2 linked regions of the Diceros bicornis minor genome follow. The protein of the gene in region 2 interacts with the protein of the main gene of each other region in a pairwise test. Links are inferred from orthologs where the notes say so. Each region holds a gene or a part of one and is shown on either strand. Other genes may lie near its edges.

The links. The genes of interacting proteins can lie anywhere in the genome.
Region 1: the proteins of MAD1L1 (region 2) and TPM1 interact in binary tests that used the Homo sapiens proteins (3 or more experiments, as listed by UniProt). The two-hybrid records come from large-scale screens. The link is inferred for Diceros bicornis minor from reciprocal best matches to the Homo sapiens genes MAD1L1 and TPM1.

Annotation. Positions count from the first base shown.
Region 1 is NC_080744.1:57,612,364-57,621,982, forward strand, and holds the start of TPM1 (tropomyosin alpha-1 chain), read left to right. Parts: upstream 1-5,355; 5' UTR 5,356-5,464; coding exon 5,465-5,578; intron 5,579-6,349; coding exon 6,350-6,475; intron 6,476-6,680; coding exon 6,681-6,806; intron 6,807-9,619. UniProt on the Homo sapiens protein: Binds to actin filaments in muscle and non-muscle cells. Plays a central role, in association with the troponin complex, in the calcium dependent regulation of vertebrate striated muscle contraction.
Region 2 is NC_080765.1:12,312,605-12,322,662, forward strand, and holds the start of MAD1L1 (mitotic spindle assembly checkpoint protein MAD1), read left to right. Parts: upstream 1-5,699; 5' UTR 5,700-6,116; coding exon 6,117-6,220; intron 6,221-6,951; coding exon 6,952-7,114; intron 7,115-10,058. Other genes in the region: MRM2 (rRNA methyltransferase 2, mitochondrial), read left to right, coding at 1-67, 2,369-2,811. UniProt on the Homo sapiens protein: Component of the spindle-assembly checkpoint that prevents the onset of anaphase until all chromosomes are properly aligned at the metaphase plate.

The sequences.
Region 1 (9,619 bases), on a different chromosome or scaffold from region 2:
GCTGCAGTACTGGGATGGCTCATGCAAGATAAGACACCTTTCAGCCCCTGCCTCATTACTATCACCTTTTAACCATGTTCAGATGTAGAGGAGACCTCTGGTGGCCCCCTCTCATCTCCTTCTCACCTTATAATGTGTTGCTTTTAAATATGAAATCAAATATTAATATAAAACAGGCTGAGAAACGGTTCATGAAAAGCGCACCGTTGTTGGGAGCTGGGTCATTCACGTTCTTGTCCCTGCACCGCCACCTCCCCGCTGGGTGACCTTGAGCCAGTCACTGCCCTTGGTTTTCTAATCTATAGCATGAGAATAATAGCACTCATCCTGATGCTGTCATAAGAGGTGGTGAGAAGGAGATAATGAACTTGAAAGTGCTTTTTAGACTTTACATAAATAAGGAATATTGCTATTCTTGAGACAGCTAAATTCCACCACAAGTCAGCTTGATTAAATCTATACATAGTTGCTCCTGTTGAAAAACAGAAGATAAGATATAAGGCAGAACTAACTTATTGTCTTTTTCTGTACTGGGAGAACCATTTTGCCTGTGCCAACCCTCCAGGTAGCAAGCATACTCAGGGACCTCTAAACAATGAAAGATGGTCACTAAATGAAGAAAGGCATCCACAGTGGCCTGAAGACCTTTCTCAGAGCTCCAAACCCTCCCTGAAAGCAGAGCATACTTTCCTTGGGTGCTTGATGGTAGCATCACAAACCTTGAGAAAGAAAGATCCCTTGTGTATGAGGAGAACAGGCTGTATCTTGTTCCATGAGACAATGAGCCGTGAGCATAACACGCTGCATTCCAACACCCAGTGGAAGAAGCAATTGTCTCTCAATTTAATTATAGATTCTCCACGTTCCCATAATTGCTTGAGTCAGCACTGTTGACGCTGGGGGAGTCATGGTACACGGGTAGAGCTAGTGCTGTTAAACAAGGTGTGACTATCAGGTAATAAGAGTTTATTTTTGTTTTTGTTTTTAAACAAACAAACCCTCATGTACATAGTCAAGTGAGTCTTCTTGTTAAAGGCGTCACACTTGTTGCTCATGTTGATTGTCTTTTCTAACCAAATATTGGAAAATGTAGTATGGCAAGTATGGGTGCTCTTATGAGAGGAAGGGACAGTATATTTAATGTTAAAGCTCTCCTAGAAAACCTGAGATACATGATCCTCGCAGCTATAGGGGGGCCCAGGCAGCATTTGGGTCAATGGTAATGTGGTTGGAAATTCACATTAAATGACCCCCAGAGAGAGGATTTTACCCCACGTCATACATAAATACTTATCCTGGAGGAAAAGATCCAGGTCTCTTATCCACCTTCCTTGATCCCATAAACTCTAGTTAAATGCCTGGCACACAAAAGGTGTTCAGTAAATATTTGTCCTACTCTATCACAATACTTCAGAAAATAAAACATAGAATCCATATTTTGAATGGAAATAATGTCTTTTGAGCATAGTTTTGTTATCTTTCCTTCCCAGATACTGTTTCTCCTACTTAATTGTATGGCTAATAGCCAATAAACAGTCATTCAACAAACATTTACTGAGAAATGACTGAATACCAAGCACTACGGAAATCTCCTGGAAATTCCACAGACATTCTTGATGTTCACACAGAAGCTCTGGACCAAGGATGTTGTGCAGGCTCCCATGTCACCGTGATTCGGTCAGCTTTTTTAATTTCAAGGAACACAGACTCTCTCATGTAACCTCAGGAAAGAAAGGGGGTTATTATAAGGACTCCTGGCACTGAAATTTGGTCATATTCTCCCTTCTCTTTCTCTCAGTGGTGCTTCTGTTTATCTTGACATGTCTGCTCCATCCTCCTTTCTCTATAACCAGACATCTCTGCTTCCTCATAACTGGGGTGATATATGACCTGTTGTGCTGAATTAGGGCAGGAGATGCTAGTAACACTTCAGTAACAAACAACCCCCAAATCTCAGTGGCCTAAAATAGCAAAGGTTTATATCTCTCTTTTGCTACATGTCCACCAAGGGTTAGTTGGGAGGAGAGGGGGAGCTCTGCTTACCATAGCCACGTGGGAACCCAGAATGACAGAGCAGCAAGAATCTTGAAAAATGAACATAGTGAGACGTGTTAACTCTTCAAGTGTCCGCCATAAATCACTTCTGCTCACATTTCCTTGGCCAAAGCAAGTCAAATGACCACACCTAACTAAATTGGGTGAAGATGTATAATCCTACCAAGACCCTGATTGGGGAGAAAGCCCAAATATTTGTGAATAGCCTTAATCACCCTCATTCAAGGCATCTCTAGCCCAAGATTGCAAACACTTTTTGTTTCAGCAGCCACAGCTGATGATTCATATTTTCCACATTCCTTAGTTCAAACCACAGTGAGAGAGAAGCTGAGTGGCCTAGTCCATCTTTGCCTGACAGACCACAGCACTAGGTCTCTGGTTAGCCTTTGGGTCTGTCCATGAGTCATGGCCAGTCAGCTGGGCAAGAGGGATATATACACTACAGCACGCGGCTGTCCAGCCCACCCCTCTTGATCCTATCCAGCGACCAGGAGATCTGTCCAGTACAGAAGAAATTGTGTAAGTCATGATGTTTTGCTTGTCCTAGCCCTACACAACAGAAAGGTCATGGATGGTGCAGTCCATGAAGCTGGGTTGGGTCTGGCTGGCTGTCAGGCTATTCATAGGGCAGAATCTCAACAGTGGCGAAATGGAAATGATTCAGTCCAGGGACCTGCTATGTTAACCCATCAATCTAGGGATCAATGATGTGGTACCAAGGGATTTAAAAAATTGGCTCTGTGTAGCTCCATTTCCACCCTTGGATACCACAGTCTTCATCCTCTGAACATAACTCTGGGTGAGAGGGGCAGGGAGGGGAAGAAGACTGCTTGGCTTCAACCCAAACAATAAGACCTGAACGTCTGAACCCGGAATTCAGTCCCTTTACCATATGCCCCCAATCTACCTTTCCAGTCTCATGTCCCAGTTCACCCCCAAGGAAACCTAGTGTCCAACCACCATCAAACATTCCTTTTTCTTCCCTTGGCTCATACAGTATCCTCCTCTCTATCTGCTACCTTTCCTCTAAAATCAGTCTAAAAACCAGCACTTTTCAGAGAAGTTTATTCTGTCTGCTCCGAACTGGTCATTTCTATTTCTTTCTCCTCTGAGTTCTTATACCCCTGCTCATGCTGAACACGTGGAGGGCATGGATGTGTCTTACTCATTTGGGGATACCAGAGCCTAGTGCCTGCCTGGTATAGAGCAGATGCTCACCAATGGTGTGTTTGAGGAATTGTCTGTAGCACCAGTTCATTTAAGGAAAATTTAACAAGTTGCTCTGCTATGTTAGGCACAGTGGAGAAAAGTCAATATTATATGATCCCTCCAGGAGTTTCTCTAGTTCAGTTGCCTCATTTTATAGATGAGAAAACTGAGGCCCAGAGAGGGGAAACAACTTGCCCTCTGCCACTCAAGCAGCAGTAATTTACTGAGCACTTTGCTATGTGCTAGACAAAATGCTTTTCATTCTTTATTGCATTGTCATCCTTGTAACAACTCTAACAGGGAAGAATTTTTACACCTACTTTACAGAAGAGAAAACTGAGGCCTAAAGAGATTGTAACATGGCTACGGTCGCATTGCAAAGAGGTGGCCAGGCCAGGTTTGGATCCCAGGGTCTAATTCTTGAGTCCCTACTCTTGCCCCCTGTCCTGAGCTCCAAGCTGGAGAATCAGCTCCCTGTGGTCCATGCATCTGTTCAAGCCCATAGGCCTTGAACTTTGTTAGTGCTCCTGTGGGTGGGGGGTTCTGGTGAATTTCTGTGCCCTACAGCCCCTATGCACACAGATCTAATGTTCTGACCATTAGGTCAGGGTATCTTTTCCTTCCTGGGCTGTTAGGTTAGTGGAAGAAACTTGATAAAATCCTGGAGAGGAACTTGACTATTCTCTGAAGGACTTACAAGTTGTTTGACCTGCCTAATCTACTCAGATACTGCCCAGGGAATATTCAGTATCCATGTAGTACAGGTTGTGAATTATTCTCTGGGGAGGGTGAAGAAGACCCTCACCAACTCTGCTGCAGCCAGTCTCAGGCAGAGCCTTGGGGTGGCCCCTTCTCTTCCCCTCCCACCAAAGCTCTGAAAAGAGCAAGCTTTTCCCCACTGGGGGCTGGGAGGAGTCAGAGATGTAAGGGAAATCCTCCTGCCTTCAAGCAGAGCTTGAAGTCTCACAGTCTGTACAGAGTTGGCCTGATCGCTTCTCCTGGTTATGGCTGTGGATACAGTGACTTCGCTGGGGTAACATCTATCCCACGTTTTGGCAACCTGGTACCTGAGCACCTAACATGGAAAGAGGCCGACTCCCTAAAATCAGTGCAAGAAAAATGATAAAAAGTGAGATCTGGAGGCACCTCAGGGATCATCTACCCCCCGGGATTTAAAGATGAGGAAACTGCAGCACCGAGGCCATGCGTCAAGGTCACACAGCTGCTGATGATGGAGACCAAAGACTGAGTTGCCTGAGTCTACACTCAATATTCTTTCCCCTTAAATTCCCACACCGACACACTAGCACACACACAAGCACCTTTGCAGAAGCACCACACACAGGCAAAAGCAGAACTAAGCCGAGTCCTGTGTCCCTAAAATATTCGACTGTTCCTCTCCTTGGAGGAAGGGCACGCAGAAAGATGCCCAGACATTCTGACCCGCACCAGCAGAGAAAGTCTCAGGAGGGGCCCCCAGAACTTCCTCCCAACTCGTCCTTTCTCTGCTCCGGTTGAGTTTCCAGAGTGAGCGCCCGGATGACACCCGGCAAGCGGAGAGCTGCCGGGGAAGCGCTGGGCGAGTGCAGGGAGCGCGCAGGCCCGGGCGCCGAGTGGGGCGGCTGCTGGGGGCCTCGGGGCCTGATGCTGTGCGCGCCGGGATCTGGCGGCTCAGGGGGGCGACGCGCACCCTCTACCTGCCCTATTGCCCCGGCCTCCTGTGGCTCAGGGCGGGCTCGCCTGGGGCCCTCGATGGCGGGGCGTCCGCCCTGGGAGGAGGAGCCGCGCAGCGCAGAGGTTAGCGCCCCGGCCCGGGCTCGGCCCCGGTGCCCTCTCCCTGGCGTGCAGGTTTGGAAACAGGGCGGCCTCACCCGGCCGCCGCCCCGGCGGCTCCGGTCCCCATATATAGACATATCCACCGTCAACTGGGAGGCCGGCAGGCGGCAGCGAATGGGCGAGCGGCCCCCGCGGGAGGAGCGGGGAGGGGGCAGGGGGCGGAGGAAGGAGGGGGAAAAGGGGCAGGAGAAAAAAGCTTTTCCAAAAAAGTATTGGCTGTCTTGAGGAATGCGGTCGCCCCCTTGGGAAAGTACATATCTGGGAGCAGCAGGCTGCTCTGCGCTCGCACTCCGGCTCGGCCGCCCCACCGCGCTCTCGCCTCGCCGCTCCCGCCGCAGCCCCAGGGCCCCTCGCCGCCGCCACCATGGACGCCATCAAGAAGAAGATGCAGATGCTGAAGCTCGACAAGGAGAACGCCTTGGATCGAGCAGAGCAGGCGGAGGCCGATAAGAAGGCGGCGGAGGACAGGAGCAAACAGGTCTGCGCCTCCCCGGCTCTGCGCCCCCCGTGCGCCCGCGCGCTCCGTCCGCCCGGTGGCCCCGAGCCCTGGCACCCGGGCTTGGCACCCCCGCCCGGCCCCTCACCCCCAGGACTCGGAGGGCCACCCCCTACTCCTGGGCGGCCAGGGACGCGCGTCTAAGAAGGGGGAGGGGAAGAGAAGACTCAGGCTTATTCTAACTCTTTAGTCTCGTCTGAGGACGCTTGTTTCCCTTCTCTGGTCCCAGAGCTCGCGAAGTCAATCCAAGTCCTAGAGGCACTTGATCCTCAGCATCGGGAATCAATTTTGGATGGGGGGGTCGGTAGGGTTGAGGGGTTGAAGGGAATCAAGTCCAGAAAGTGTTAGTCGTTCTTCTGGACTTTTGACTGGGGAGAATATAAACTTCAACTGGGATAGAGACGGGGGAGGGGAGGAAGTCATGGATTTTTTTCCTAAGAACAAAGATAGGACAGAATAGAGAGTGCGGCCCGAAAGATAGGGAAACAGGGGCTTTTTCTGCGCCCCCAAGTTGTGGACTTGAGCCCGCTGAGGCCTCAGCAGGAGTCTCCTCCCGGGGGAGGTGGAGGTGCGGGGTGGGCCACGGTGCGGTTCCAGCTCGGAGCGAGAGGAGGTTACCCAGGGACCCTTGAGTCCCAACTCGGTGGCGCCCCAAGCCCGAGGGCCCTCAGCCAACCCGGCGCCCTTGTGTTGTGTGTGTGTCTAACACCCGGTCCGTGCCGGCCGCCCGCGCCCGCCCGCCGCTGCCCCCAGCTCGAGGAGGACATCGCGGCGATGGAGAAGCTAATGCGGGCGTCGGAGGACGAGCGGGACCGGGTGCTGGAGGAGCTGCACAAGGCGGAGGACAGCCTCCTGGCCGCCGACGAGTCCGCCGCCAAGGTACCCGGGGCGCGCGGCGCGGTGCGGCGCACGAATGGCTAACTCTGTCTCTCTCTCTTTCTCTCCCTCCCTGTCTTTCCCTCTCTCTCTCCCTCTGTCCCTGTCCTTCTGGTTCTGTGCACCCACACCCTTCCCCTGCGGGATCACGCTGCCTGCTGCACCCACCCCCCCACCCCCCCTCCCGTCCCCCACGGCCAACTCCCAGCTGGAAGATGAGCTAGTGTCGCTGCAAAAGAAACTCAAGGGCACCGAAGATGAACTGGACAAATACTCCGAGGCTCTCAAAGATGCCCAGGAGAAGCTGGAGCTGGCGGAGAAAAAGGCCACCGACGTAAGTGCACGCACACACTGCTTCCCTCACCTCCTGCCCCGCGTAGTCACTCCGGGGTCACCACACGGGCCAGAGAGCAATGGAGGAGGGTCACCTCCTCCTGCTGGACATCTGCACACAGCCTCGCCATGGCTCAGAGCACTGGATGCTGCCTGGGACTGCTACTGCACACCTTCATTTATATTTCATCCATTCCTCTTTCTTTTTTCCTCCTTCCTTCTCCCCACCCCTGGGGGTGGAGGTGGGTGGGTGAGAAGCTGGGAGCATAGAGCAGCTGAAATTGGACTTTGGAGGTGAACCTTGCCTCCCTGGTGGCAGAAAACTTCTGAGGTGTCATCACCAAGGTTTGTGCAGACAGAATGCCTAGTTTTCTTTCCTCTCTTTCCTTTTGCCATGTCTGGTGGATGGGAAGGCCTGGGTTTCAGTGGTGGGTCTAGTCAGGATCCAGAGGGCCTGGCCTCTAGATGGAAGGAATGGCATGGTGCTAGGTTTACTCAGAAGACCGAGCTTGATGGTGGGGCAGAGAGACACTTGAGGCCTCCTTTCTCACCAGGGAAGTCTTAATCCACCCCTTAAGATCTGCCTGGGAAGATGATACTTGCTTGGGTCTGCAGTCTGAGGGCACCAGATCCAGAAAGTAAGCTGGGAGTTATATATAGCTCAGTGCTTTATATGGTATAGTGAGCCCGCTGCCCCCTGCCCTTCCTGCTCGCCCCACCCCCACCTGTCAGCCCTCTGACAACCACCGCATAGTTTCAGGGGTGATGCATAGGCCGCCAAAGCTCTACCAGCACTTTGTCCACTGCCCTTTGGAATCTTTTTCGCTGAAGAGCTGGCCTCTTCTGCTGAATAAGTCAAGCCAACCATTAGATTTCCAAAGGACTGACTTCCTCTCACACCGTTGGATTCCATTCCAGAAGCTAATTAAGCCTAGAGGCCCAATTAGGCAAGAATTCCTTGGGAAGTTGGTATAACAATTCCAAGAATGCATGAGCACCCGGGAAAGCTATGCCCGGAAGTTGAACTACCAAGTTCAACCGCAGAATTTTTTGTATGAGAGTAAAATGCAAATTGCTGGAGGGTCTTGGGTCTTGAAATCAGTACAGGCTTTTTGTGGCGTGAAAGGCTTGAAATGTAATTTCCAAGTGTGCTTTGTAAATGAGAAATCCAGACATAGGACATTTAGAATCTGACAAAAAGAAATTTTCAGTGAAAATCAAGATTCCTGGGAAAGGGGGTTCAGGGAAGCACTGATTTAGCTAAAACATTTAAGTTACAAACTACCTGGCTTTAGAAAAAGAGCCAAAAAACACATATAACTCTGTGCCTGCTTTGTATAATGTAGATCAGATGTCTGCTCCGTATATGGCTAAATGGAGGATGTCTGTCTCCCCCAAATTCTCCAGCAGGACGTTTATTTAGTTTTTTCAAAAGAGCCGCTGATAGATCAAGGAGAGATATTCCTTATAAGGAAAAGAATGCAGAGAATTTGAAAATAGCCCAGTAAGACTGAAGGCAAGAGAAGGAGATAAAAAGCTACTACAATTCTTAAGGAAAAAAAAGATCATAATTATTGTAATTATGGAGTGCTATCATGTCTTTATTGAAAAGTCTTGTTTAAGGGAGCATTGGAATGAGGTGGGACAGAAGTGGAAAAGAGGATATTTAAAGCCAGCTGGGCCGGGGGCAGAGCCAGCAGGGGAGGGAGATTTTTGAAACTGTTTTGGTTCATTTTTTTCCACTGGAAAACTGTCCCTAATATGAGCCATTTTTTTTTTTTTTTTTTTGTAGTATATTGATCACCTTCTCCTTTAAGACATTTTAGGTTGTCTGGAACCTGTAGGGATGTTTGTGAGGAAATGCTATATTTAGAGTAATTCCTAACTAGTAAAAATAGTCAAGATTTGAGGAGGAAGAGACAGATGTCACTAGAGAAAGGGGGAGGTGGGAGAGAGGTCAGCTTCCTGAGGTAGAATCATGTTACATTTGAGATTAAGACATTTCACTGTCATTACCAGTGTAAAACAATTTCACATTTTTCTACTAATTTATCAACCTACTTTACAAATCCTATTCCAGAAGTGGGCTCTTCCTAGCTTAAAAGCTTATAATTCAGGTAGCATCCCCGAGGGTTTTGTTTTTTGTGGTTCCACCTAGGTGAGGCTCTAAGGGGATCAGGCGTTCCATTTTCTCTCTGGCCCCCACCCCTTCCCCAAGAACTGTGATGTATCTGATATTTACAGTATGTAAGTCTTTATTCCCTGTAGGTCTTTGCTTCCTAAATCAGTGATTCTCAACCTTATCTAAACAGAATCACCGAAGGAAGTTTTAAAACCCCAAATCCAGGCTGCACCCCAGGCCAATTAAATCTGAATCTCTGGGAGTGGAACACAGGCGTTAGTATTTTTTAAATAACCAGGTGATTCCAACGTGCAGCCAAGGCTGAGAACTATTCTAACCTCTTGTATAATGACATCAGCAGGAAAATGAACTCACCTGAAACTGACTTTCCCAGGTGTTTGAAGTCACTAGTTGGCTGCTTAGAGCACTTGTACGTGTCCAGCAGTTTCCCTAGTTCCTCTTAGAAACTCCCAGACGCTCCCTTCCCCCACCCTCAAAGTTGGAGACGCGCGATCCAGAGCACTTGTCTAGGCGAGGAGTTGTAACCTCCCGCCTGTCCAGACGAACTGTGTGGAAACAAAGCGAGAGGCTCCACCTACAGGATGTGAGGGCCCATGCTGGGGTTGGTGAGCGTCCGCACAGGCTGTGAGCAAGTCCAAAGAAAATGAGTCAGGAAAACCAAGGAGGTTCGC
Region 2 (10,058 bases):
GACTGTGGGGCAGCTCCTGGTGCGTGGAGCCAGGTGGCAGTGCAGCGAGTCAATGCTGCAGGCACAGGTGGGGCCTCCTGCTGCTCTTAGGGCCCCTGACCACCAGGAGTCTGTAGATGCCAGCCAGCTGCCCTCTGCCCAGGGATACAGGGCAGCTGAGCCGCTTGGTGAAGGCACATACTTCTGACTTGGTGGTTTAGTAGTAATAATGGTAAAGATAGGACACTGACATTTTCAAAATGAAAGATAAAGTAGAGAGGTATAAAGAAAATTAAAACCACTTCAGACCACACCACATTAATATGTGCTTTAATATGTTGGTGTGCATCCTTCCGGAATTTGTGTTTGCAAACATAGCTACACATATATAACTTCTTTTTCGAAAGTGATATTACACCACACTCTTGTTGCTGATTTGGAGCCTTAATGGAGCTATTTTTTTCACTTACTGATATATTGCCATCTTTCTGTGACAGTACAACTGAAGCAACCCCAGAGGTTTCTGGATCCTATTGCTGGAAGCCGTGGGTTTCTTGGAGGTCCTGCTGGGGCTGCTCAGGGGAGCCCTCGCAGCCAGGCCTCTGGATTCTCCACTCTGGCTCAACCCAAGGGATTCAGCTTTTATCTGTTTTATATTTTAGGGTTTTGTCAAAGATATTCTATATCAAAAAGGTTCCCCTGACTAATAAACAGATAAACCAACCACCCATAAAATTTAGAAAACTGTGTCATCCTTGTAACTAGCTGCCTAGTATTCTAGAGAATGGCGTGCTGTTGGCAGTTATCCTGGCTCCTCGTCTGGGAAAGGTTGCTTTCCAGTCTTCTGCTACTATGCACAATGTGGGGTGAATATCCTTACCATTAGTATTTCCTGCCGGGAAGTCTGAGGGTGCTGCATCCACTGGCATTGTATGACATGTGACAGTCACAAAGATCTCGCCCAAACATCTTTGAGTGGGGACATTTGTGCCCATTTTCCTAATGAGTAGATTGAGGTTCAGAGGAGTTGAGTGACCTGCTAAAAGTATAGACCTGGGGATGCTGCTCCCCAAGTTCATTCATCAGCCGCATTACTGTGGGTGGGATGCCTTAAGGGGCTCTAGAACAGTTTAAATTTTTTTTAGCTCACTAACTATTTATCGACCAAGTGAATGAAGTTGTGTCAGAAACTTCAGCTCCTTCTCCACTGCTGGGCCCCTCCACAGACTTGCTACCAGCTGGTTTGAGTGGCTGCTGTTCCCCTAACTGCTCTTCAGGAGAAGCGGAAAAGCGGCCAGGTTGAACTTGTAGGAGGAAGTGGCAGAAGCAAGGATTGTGTGGATAACATGACTTGGTTTCTTTTCCTCCCAGAAGTTGCAAAAATGCGACCAAAGCCGTTTGCCTTGAGTGGACGCTGCTGAGGTTGTGGTACATGGGTGTTAAAGAGGGTCAAGTGCCTAACATGAGATATGAGCTGTCCCACTTTCCACGGCCGGAAATGGAGAGTTTTCACCTGCAAAATACCTGGACTTCCGATATTTAGAGAGAAATAAAATACACATTTCCCCCCCGCCTTTTATTAAGCAGACTGAGCTAGCAAATCTGTGGCCGTACCCTTACCTTACCCACCCTGATGTGTGTCAGCAGAGCAAAGGTCCCCCTCTGTGGAGGGAAGTGATGCAGAGAGAGGACGTCAGGGCTTGTGAGGAGGAGCGCTTTGAATGTGGGTGCAGTACGAGAGGAGGACGAGGGGGAGGCTGGGGACAGCAGTCGTGCAGGCGCGGTGTCTTGTTTTTGGTAATGTGAAACAATGACATCTTTTCTCTCACAGTGGCTATCACTCAAATATGGCAAGACATTACTTTTGGTACCTTATTTGGCATCTCTCTATCTTCCCCTTCTCTGGCTTGTTTCTAATAGTTTCTATATCAAAAGAGATTGGATTAAGCTGCAGAATGGATTTGTTGATTTAATCCAGAGGCACTTGATATATGAGTGTGTCATTTTCTATTTTAGTTTATCACAAAGACCACTCAGAGATAAGAACCCTTTCATGGAGAGCAGGCCTCATGGAGTGAAATGAAATCAGACATGAAGTCAAGTCTCAGGGTGTGGCTCCAGGTCTGCCTATCTCTCCCTGTGACTCTGGGACAGTCACTTTTCCTCTTGGCCTCAGTTTCCTCAGATGCAGAGTGAAGGACCACCACTCCCCACCATGTGTTTTTATAGGATGTATAGAAAGTGGGAAAAAGCCTGTGTCTGCATATTTGCACAGTAGCTCTTTTCCTTTGTCCTGACTTTTTATTTCTACTTCATTATTTTGTTGCATGTATTTTTGTGGGAAGATGCAAGGTGCAAATAAATAACGCATTCACCATTTCTTCCTTAGATCCCAGCGCTCCTGTTGGCTTTGTACTTGGGGTAGATCTTCTTCACATCTTCCCCCTGGAAGGAGCAACTTTTCTGTGCCCTGCTGATGTGACTGACCCAAGAACCTTCCAAAGAATCCGAGAACTGCTTCCTGGTGGGAGAGCAGATGTGATTCTGAGTGACATGGCACCCAATGCCACAGGGATCCGAGGCCTCGATCACGACAGGCTCATCAGTCTGTGCTTGTCCCTTCTGGACTTGGCTCCAGACATCCTGCACCCCGGAGGAACATTCCTTTGTAAAACCTGGGCTGGAAGTCAAAGCCATCGGTTACAGAAGAGACTGACAGACGAGTTCCAGAACACAAGGACTGTGAAACCTGAAGCCAGCAGGAAAGAGTCATCAGAGGTGTACCTCTTGGCCACACAATACCGAAGAGTGAAGGGGTCTGTGAAGGACTGAGAGTTTCTTCTGCCTCTTCTGGTCCTTTTTCACTGCAAATGTAGCCTGAGCTCTTTCCTGAAGTGTGGCTGGGGAGATGGAGCTTGATCTGATCTGGGAGATGCGGCAAGCAGGACAAGTGGGGGACCTTTTTTTTTTTTAAAAACCAAAAAGATAGGACAAAACTATATTCAGTGTCCAGTGTCCATGATATATGGTAAACAGCAGTCTCTCTAACATGATTTGTGAAGAGGACATTATGAGAAGGAGACAGGCAAAGATAAAAGGATGAGAAGACAGTGAGAAGGATAAACACGAATACGCTGAGACAGACAGACAGACATACACACACCTGTATGTCACTTCTCATCTTACAGACTGTTAGCATGTACAGAGAAACAGGTTTCCACCATGGCTCCAAGAACACAGCACACAGGTTTCCAGTTGTTATTTTGGCTATACAGTGCAATGTAGAAAAATCTGAAATTTCAGACTGGAGATTAATTTCCATTTCTTTGGTGAATGATCTAGAAACATCCATTCTTCAAGCAGTGAGAGTTCCCAGAGCAATGAGGGAAGACATTTGGTATGAATTATGCATAGGGTGGGTGCGCTTTGGTTTTTCCTGCGAATGTGTGTTGCTGTAATGCTCCAGGCTCCCAAGACCATAAAGGTAATTGCCAAAGCAAGCTGCGATGTGGTGTGTTCGTTTATTTCCTTTTATTCTCCTCCAGGAACTTGGTGCTGCTTTGTAAAACTATATAGATTGTGTCATCTTGAGGGATTTCCATTTTTAAAAAAATCTGCTGGTTTCTTCAAAGTCATTTGTGGAGGTGTGTTTATCCCTCGACAAGTTCATTGACTGTGAGGATGATTACATCCCAAAGACCAGCTGCGGAAGAAATGCTAGATGCTCAGGAATCTCCAGGAGTTCCAGGGCTTGGTCCAGCTCCCTGGAGTACGCTGCAGGCCGGATTTTAAAGTTATTCATTTTACTTTTGGCTGTAGTCAGTTGAGTACAGAGAACCCCCTGACCCACCTCTTCCCCATCGTCCCTGTCCCCATCGTCCCTGTCCCCATCGCATTGAATTCCCGGGGCACACAAACGAGTATTGTGTCTGGAAGAAGGGTATTCAGCGACGACCCTGGGGCGCTCAGCCCCGGCCTGGGGGTGCAGGGAGGAGGAGGGATGAGAACCCAGAAACAGTGATACCCAAGTTACAGGACGGGGTTGCTCTAGTTCAAGAGGGGCCTGTTGGCTGTTGCGCCCTGAGAACAAGGTGGGAGGGGGTCAGACGGGGGGACCCTGGCGGCCCACAGGGCAGGGGGAGGAAGGCCTAGTAGCATGGTACTTTACTTTTCCCAGTGGGCCCAGAGAAAAGTAAAAGAACGCGCTAACTCAAGCCAATACCACAGTAGCAAAATGTGGGGACCAGTCGAGAGTGCAGGAAAGTTTGGCCCTCCGAGGCCACCGTCGGGCGGTGCTCTTCCGCACTGTACGGTGCGAGGCAACCGCCTCAGTGGAAGCCCATCCTACGGGGGCGGGGCACCCGGACAGTCCGCGGTCCGGCATTCGGTCTCGAGCGGGGTCCCCCGGGGTGGGGGCTCCAAAGGGCGACGCGGAGGCCCCAGAACCCACCGGTGCGCAGACCCGGAGCTCCACCGCCGGCCCCGCCTAGGTCTCGCGAGAGCGCAGCCACACGTCTCGCGATACGCGGGCGCGGATGGAGAGGAGGGAGATCTGAGCGGCGGCGGCGGCGGCTGGGGCGGCGGTGGCGGTGGTGGCGGTGGTGAGGTGACGGCAGGTGAGGTGGGGGGAGGTGAGCGGCTGGGTGGGCGCGGCGGCCGGGGTCCCGGGTGGGCGCCGGGGCGGGAGGCTGGGAGGGGCGGCCCGTTGGGGCCTGGGCTGCAACTGCCTGCCCAGGCTGGGGCCAGGGCTGCCCGCCGTGGATGGGCGCGGGTGCCGCTCCCTCTGTCCGCCCCTGGGGCCCTGACCGGCGCCCCCTCCACGCCCCCTCTGCTCCCGGCGCCGTCCCGCTGAGCCTGGGCCGGGCTCCGAGCCCCGGCTTCTCTCGGCGGCCTCTGCGGGGGACCCCCTCCCTCCGAGGGGTGGCAGCGGGGAATGGCCAGTGTCCGCGAGGGCCGGGGCGCCCACGGAGGAGGGGCTCTTCACCTGTCCGCTCTCCCCGGCTGGTCCTCAGGCGCAGGCGGCCTCCCCCGAGACTGTCCAGGGGAAGAGATGCTCTTCCCTCGGGTGCCGCCCCTGTGCGGTGACCAGCGCTGTCCCCTGCGCCTCTTCAGTTGAGCAGTGTGGTAGTGCTGCCACTTCGCTTTACAACTAAGGAGACCGGCGGGAAGATGGGAGGCGACTTGCCCAGAGTCACGCTGCCTGCAGCTCGTCGAATGAGGGCTTGCGTTTCACACCTAGTATGAGTTTGGAGAAAGCAGAAAAAGCGGGTGGCGAACTATCAGGCCCGCGTGATGGTGCTCTTGGCGGCGTGAAGTGGTGTCGCGGAGTGATGAGCATCCTCGTAATTTCTTTAGGTTTCCGCAGCCATCGTTTTGCCAAGGACGGGAAGGGCAGGGGAGAGGCAGCGTGCTCTGGACTCCCAGCTCCAGGTTTCTGTTGAGAGGGGTTCAGATTCAGTGGTTAGGTGGCTGGAAGATTTGTCTCTTGGATAAGGAGGATGAAGTTTGAGCTGCTGCCTTATCGCCTGCCTTATGGAGCGGCTTAGTTCCAGACAGTTGAAAATGTATGTGTTCTTTTTCATTCTAGTGTATTACGTCCATCAGTTCTTACCCGGGATGCCTCTCGAGAAGAGGATATGTTGGCTAAATTTCCCATCATGGGATGGAGAGTATGGCCCTGGTCTAATCTTGGCAAATGGAAGGATTTGCCGTCCAGTGATGCTGCCTCCCACCATGCAGGCCTATATGTGCGAGGCTCAGGGCACTTGGGTGCTTCTGTTCTCTCTTCCAACCCATTTCCACTGATAGTAGGGATGAGAGGTGGGGCAAACAGGTATGATGTTCAGGGATGGGAACGATGGCCTGCAGAAGACAAGGGCTGTGCATGCACAAGACCAGTGTCCTTGTTAAATGGGAAATTCAGAATCTAAGATTCTGCACCTTCTTTTTGAGTGGGGAGAGGTGTTTTCAGTCTAATACGTAGGGGAAATCAGTGAGAGCCGGCTGTTTTCCTAAGGGGGAAAAACAGTGCACCTGTAGGCATTCACACCTTCTGGCTATTGACTGTGCCTGGGACGCTCCACGCCTTCTGGCTGTTAGACGGCCTGGTGTGAGGCGTAATAAGCACAGGTTTGGAGATGCAGGTTCTTTGCCGCTGCTTGTCTTCGGCCCTTCATACATGTGCTTGTGGAACACACTCAACCTTTGGAGCCAGAGACACCCGCGTTCCAATCTCAGTTCAGTAAGTTTTTGAAGCCTCCTCTTATATCGTCTCTAAAATAAGCGTGAAAGACCTAATTCATCCGCCTGTTGTGAAGATTGATATGTCCTGTGTAAAATTACAAGCAGAATGATAGTCAAAAGTGTGACAACAGTCACACCATCTGCCCTCTGGAGACTTCTTATAGACACTGTAATCCTTACAACTTTGCAAAGTGGGTTTCATGATCCTCAGTTTACAGATGAGGAAACTGAGGCTCAAGAAGTCTCAGTGCTCAGTAAATGTCGGATACCTTTCTTTTTGGTACCTGGTTGGAAATAGTAGTAATCTTATTCGTGTCATCGTTAACGTATATTATAATTAGCATTGCTATGGTCATCATCCTTATTGCCACTGTTGTGGCTCTGTTTCTGATTCCCAGAGGCCAGACTTTTTGTGAGTGTTTATGTGGGAGATGTGCCACCTGCCTGCTGACCACCTCCTGCTGGGAGCTGGTGTGCTGGCAACACTCTGACCGTCAGTGACTTTGTGGTGTGTTGTCTTTTTATGCGTCCATCTCTTCTCTGATAAATTGGCAGTATGTGCTCCCACTTAATCCCGAAGAATGTGGTTATGGACACTGGAATATTTTAAGGTCTCTGAGAGAGCGTTAAGGGAGTGGGACTGCCCAAAGGTACCCCCTCAACGGGCCGCTGTCAGAGTTGATGGCACATGGAAATGTTCACTGTGACCCTGCCCTTGTCTTCCTCCAGAAGGGAAATGGCCATGGAGGACCTGGGGGAAAACACCACCGTCCTATCCACCCTGAGATCTTTGAACAACTTCATTTCTCAAAGAGTGGAGGGAGGATCTGGATTGGATGTTTCCAGCTCTGCCCAGGGTTCTCTGCAGATGCAGTACCAGCAGAGCATGCAGGTGAGTGCCGTGTGTCAGGATAGGGGTCTCTAGATAAGGACATCTGCTCTGGGCCTGTTCAAGCTCCATATAATTCAAGTGAGTGCCAAGTGTCGGGATAGGGGTCTGTAGGTGAAGACGCCTGCCCTTAGGTGGGGCCTCTTCAAGTTCCATATACTTCAAGTGAGTGGCATGTGTCAGGATAGGGGTCTCTAGGTAAGGACATCTGCCATTACGTGGGGCCTCTTCAAGCTCCATAGAGTTCAGATGAGCGGGTGTTTCAGGACAGGGGTCTCTAAAGACACTTGTCCTTATGTGGGGCTGGTTCAAGCTCCACAGGGTTCAGATGAATAGCGTGTGTTGGAATAGGGGTCACTAGGCGAAGACACCTGTCCTTTGGTGGGGCCTGTTCAAGTTCCATTGAGTTGAGGCAGATCAGTGTTTCTGCAGCCTAGAGGCCAGCTGGCCGTCTCCCAGGTCTCCAACGTGGGCATTCACAGTTTTGGGAAGATAGCTGGAGGCCACGGTCTGGCCCTGAACTGTCCTGGCTTCCAGCCTGATTAATCAGCACCCCAGAGTGGGTCTGGTACTCAGCAGTGCTCACACCAGTGAGCTCACAGACACTAATGATAGGGTGATAAAGCCAGTTTATTCATTTCATTGATGGAAAAACCCCAGACTGCCTGGGAGCATGACCACCAGCATTCTCCAGCCAGCTGCTGGCTTCCTTGAAGTGGAGTACCTGGGAAGGCTATGTTGTAAACACAGGCTCGTGGTCAGCCTAGCTGGAAAGCCAGGGCAGTGGGTGACGGATCGGGTGTGTAATGGTCTCAGACTATGGGGGGCCATTTGCAGATTTTTGCTTCAGTCTGTCATGGGGTGATTTTTACAGTTTTACTCTGATTCTAGTCTTATTTCACTTTATTCCAAGTTCTTGGCAGTGCTCACTGAAGACACATTGTAAGGAGGTCAGGTCTCCTGAAGGACTTCAGGTTCCAAAGAGTTGTGGGGTCAGTGCCAGTGGGGCAGGGATCACTGGGGCCACACAGGAAGGGGGATGTGGTGTCTGCAGCCTTGCTCAGGCCCCGGCCTCTCTGCATAGACGGCTGCATCAGGCAGTCCCTGGCTTCTCTGCTTGGATTCCTCCTTCCTGTCAACCCTGTATGTGCTGCTGGAGCCGTTCCGTGATAACATCCTGGGTCAGACGAGCAAAGGGTTTCCTGTCGCTCCAGGAGCCCTGAGGAGGCACATGCAGCATTTGGGAAAACACACGCGGTATGTTTGTGTGCCTTCATTTGCTGAGTGATTGATTTACCGTATGCTTGTTGGTGGGCTGACTTGCTCACTGCCCTTTTTTGGCAAGGATTGTTCTTTATTCTGAAATTAGGTCTTTTATATTTGTCTTTGGTGTTAAAACACATTTTTTGAAATAAAGATGATAATAGATTGTAGTTTTTTTGATCCTTACTCACTGGCAAAATAAGAAGTTGGCAACTTTGGTCTAAGAAAGTGTTAGAATTGCCTGTCTGTCAGAGCTGTAGAATCTAGAATTCCAGAGGTCCCCAGTTTTCACTCAGTGCTGTTCAGGCTTCCCCAGTTGGGGGATCAGTAAATGAGTGGTGTAGTCAGAGCAAGCTGTTAGAGTCATGTGGCTACAAGATCTGCCTCTGGCCCTGAACTTGGCCCTGTCCTGTCCCAAGACTTCAGTCAGGGGTGCCCTCTTTCCTACCATGCCTCCACCAAATGGCAGTGAGGGAACTGAGACCCGACAGGTCTGGGGAGCCTGGAGGAGAGATCAGTATGTCTTACTTGCCAGTCCCCTCCCCCCTCCATTTTTTTTTTTTTTTTTTTGCTGAGGAGGATTGGCCCTGAGCTAACATCTGTTGCCAATCTTTCTCTTTTTGCTGAGGAAGATTGGCTCTAAGCTAACGTCTGTGCCAATCTTCCTTTGTTTTGTATGGGGGATGTTGTTGCAGCATGGCTTGGTGAGCGGTGTATCGGTCCATGCCCAGGATTTGAACCTGCAAACCCTGGGCCGCTGAAGCTGAGCACATGAACTTAACCACTATGCCACCGGGCCGGCCCCGCACCCCCCCTTTTTAATTAAAGTTCCTGTTTCCGTTTGAAAGTGTTTATAGTCTGCTCTGTTACACATCAGTGTTGGCTTAAATATAACAATAATGTTTCAGTTATTTTCCTTCAGATACAGTCAATGTTCCAGCAAGATATGGCCCATGGACCCATGTTTCTAGAACTCCTGGTCCCTGTGCAGTGGTGCCCCCGGAACTGGGGTCCCGCCGTGCTTTGGAGAGGCTGGGCCCTGGCTGCAGACACAGTGAGACTAGGAAGGCTAGTGAGTTTGATAGGTAGAGTTAGGAACCCCCAAATGTCAAGAGGTGGGGATTGAAATGAGAAAATATCAGAGGGGTCAAAAAGGGTGGACTTGGGCCCCCAAAGAGTTGGGGGGAGGTGGAGAGGATGCCTTTTCTTTGGCCCAGGATTGCTCACCCTCGGCACTGTTGACATTTTGGGCTGGGTAAGTCTTTGTTTTGCAGGACTTGGCTGTGCCTTGTAGGAAGGTTAGCGGCGTCCCTGGTCTCTACCCAGTAGATGCCAGTAGCAAATGCATACTACCACCCCCTCTTGTGAGAGTCACCAGTGTCTCTAGACACTGACAGGTCTCCTTGATTGAATTGAGAGCCACATGCTTTAGCCCATGCTTCCCGAACTTTAATGTGCATGTGAGTCCTCTGAGAATATGTTTAAAAGGAAGATTCTGATTCGATATCTCTGGGATGCAGCCCGAGAGTTTGCATTTCTTTGAGTGCCCGGGAGATGCTGTGCTGCTGGACTGCAGGCCGTTCTTGGAGTGGCCAGCCTCTAGCCCACGTGGAGAAGAGACCCTTACAATCAGTGATTCTGGGAAACTGTTTGGCGTGTCTTCTGAGGCCCTTCAAGGCTTGAA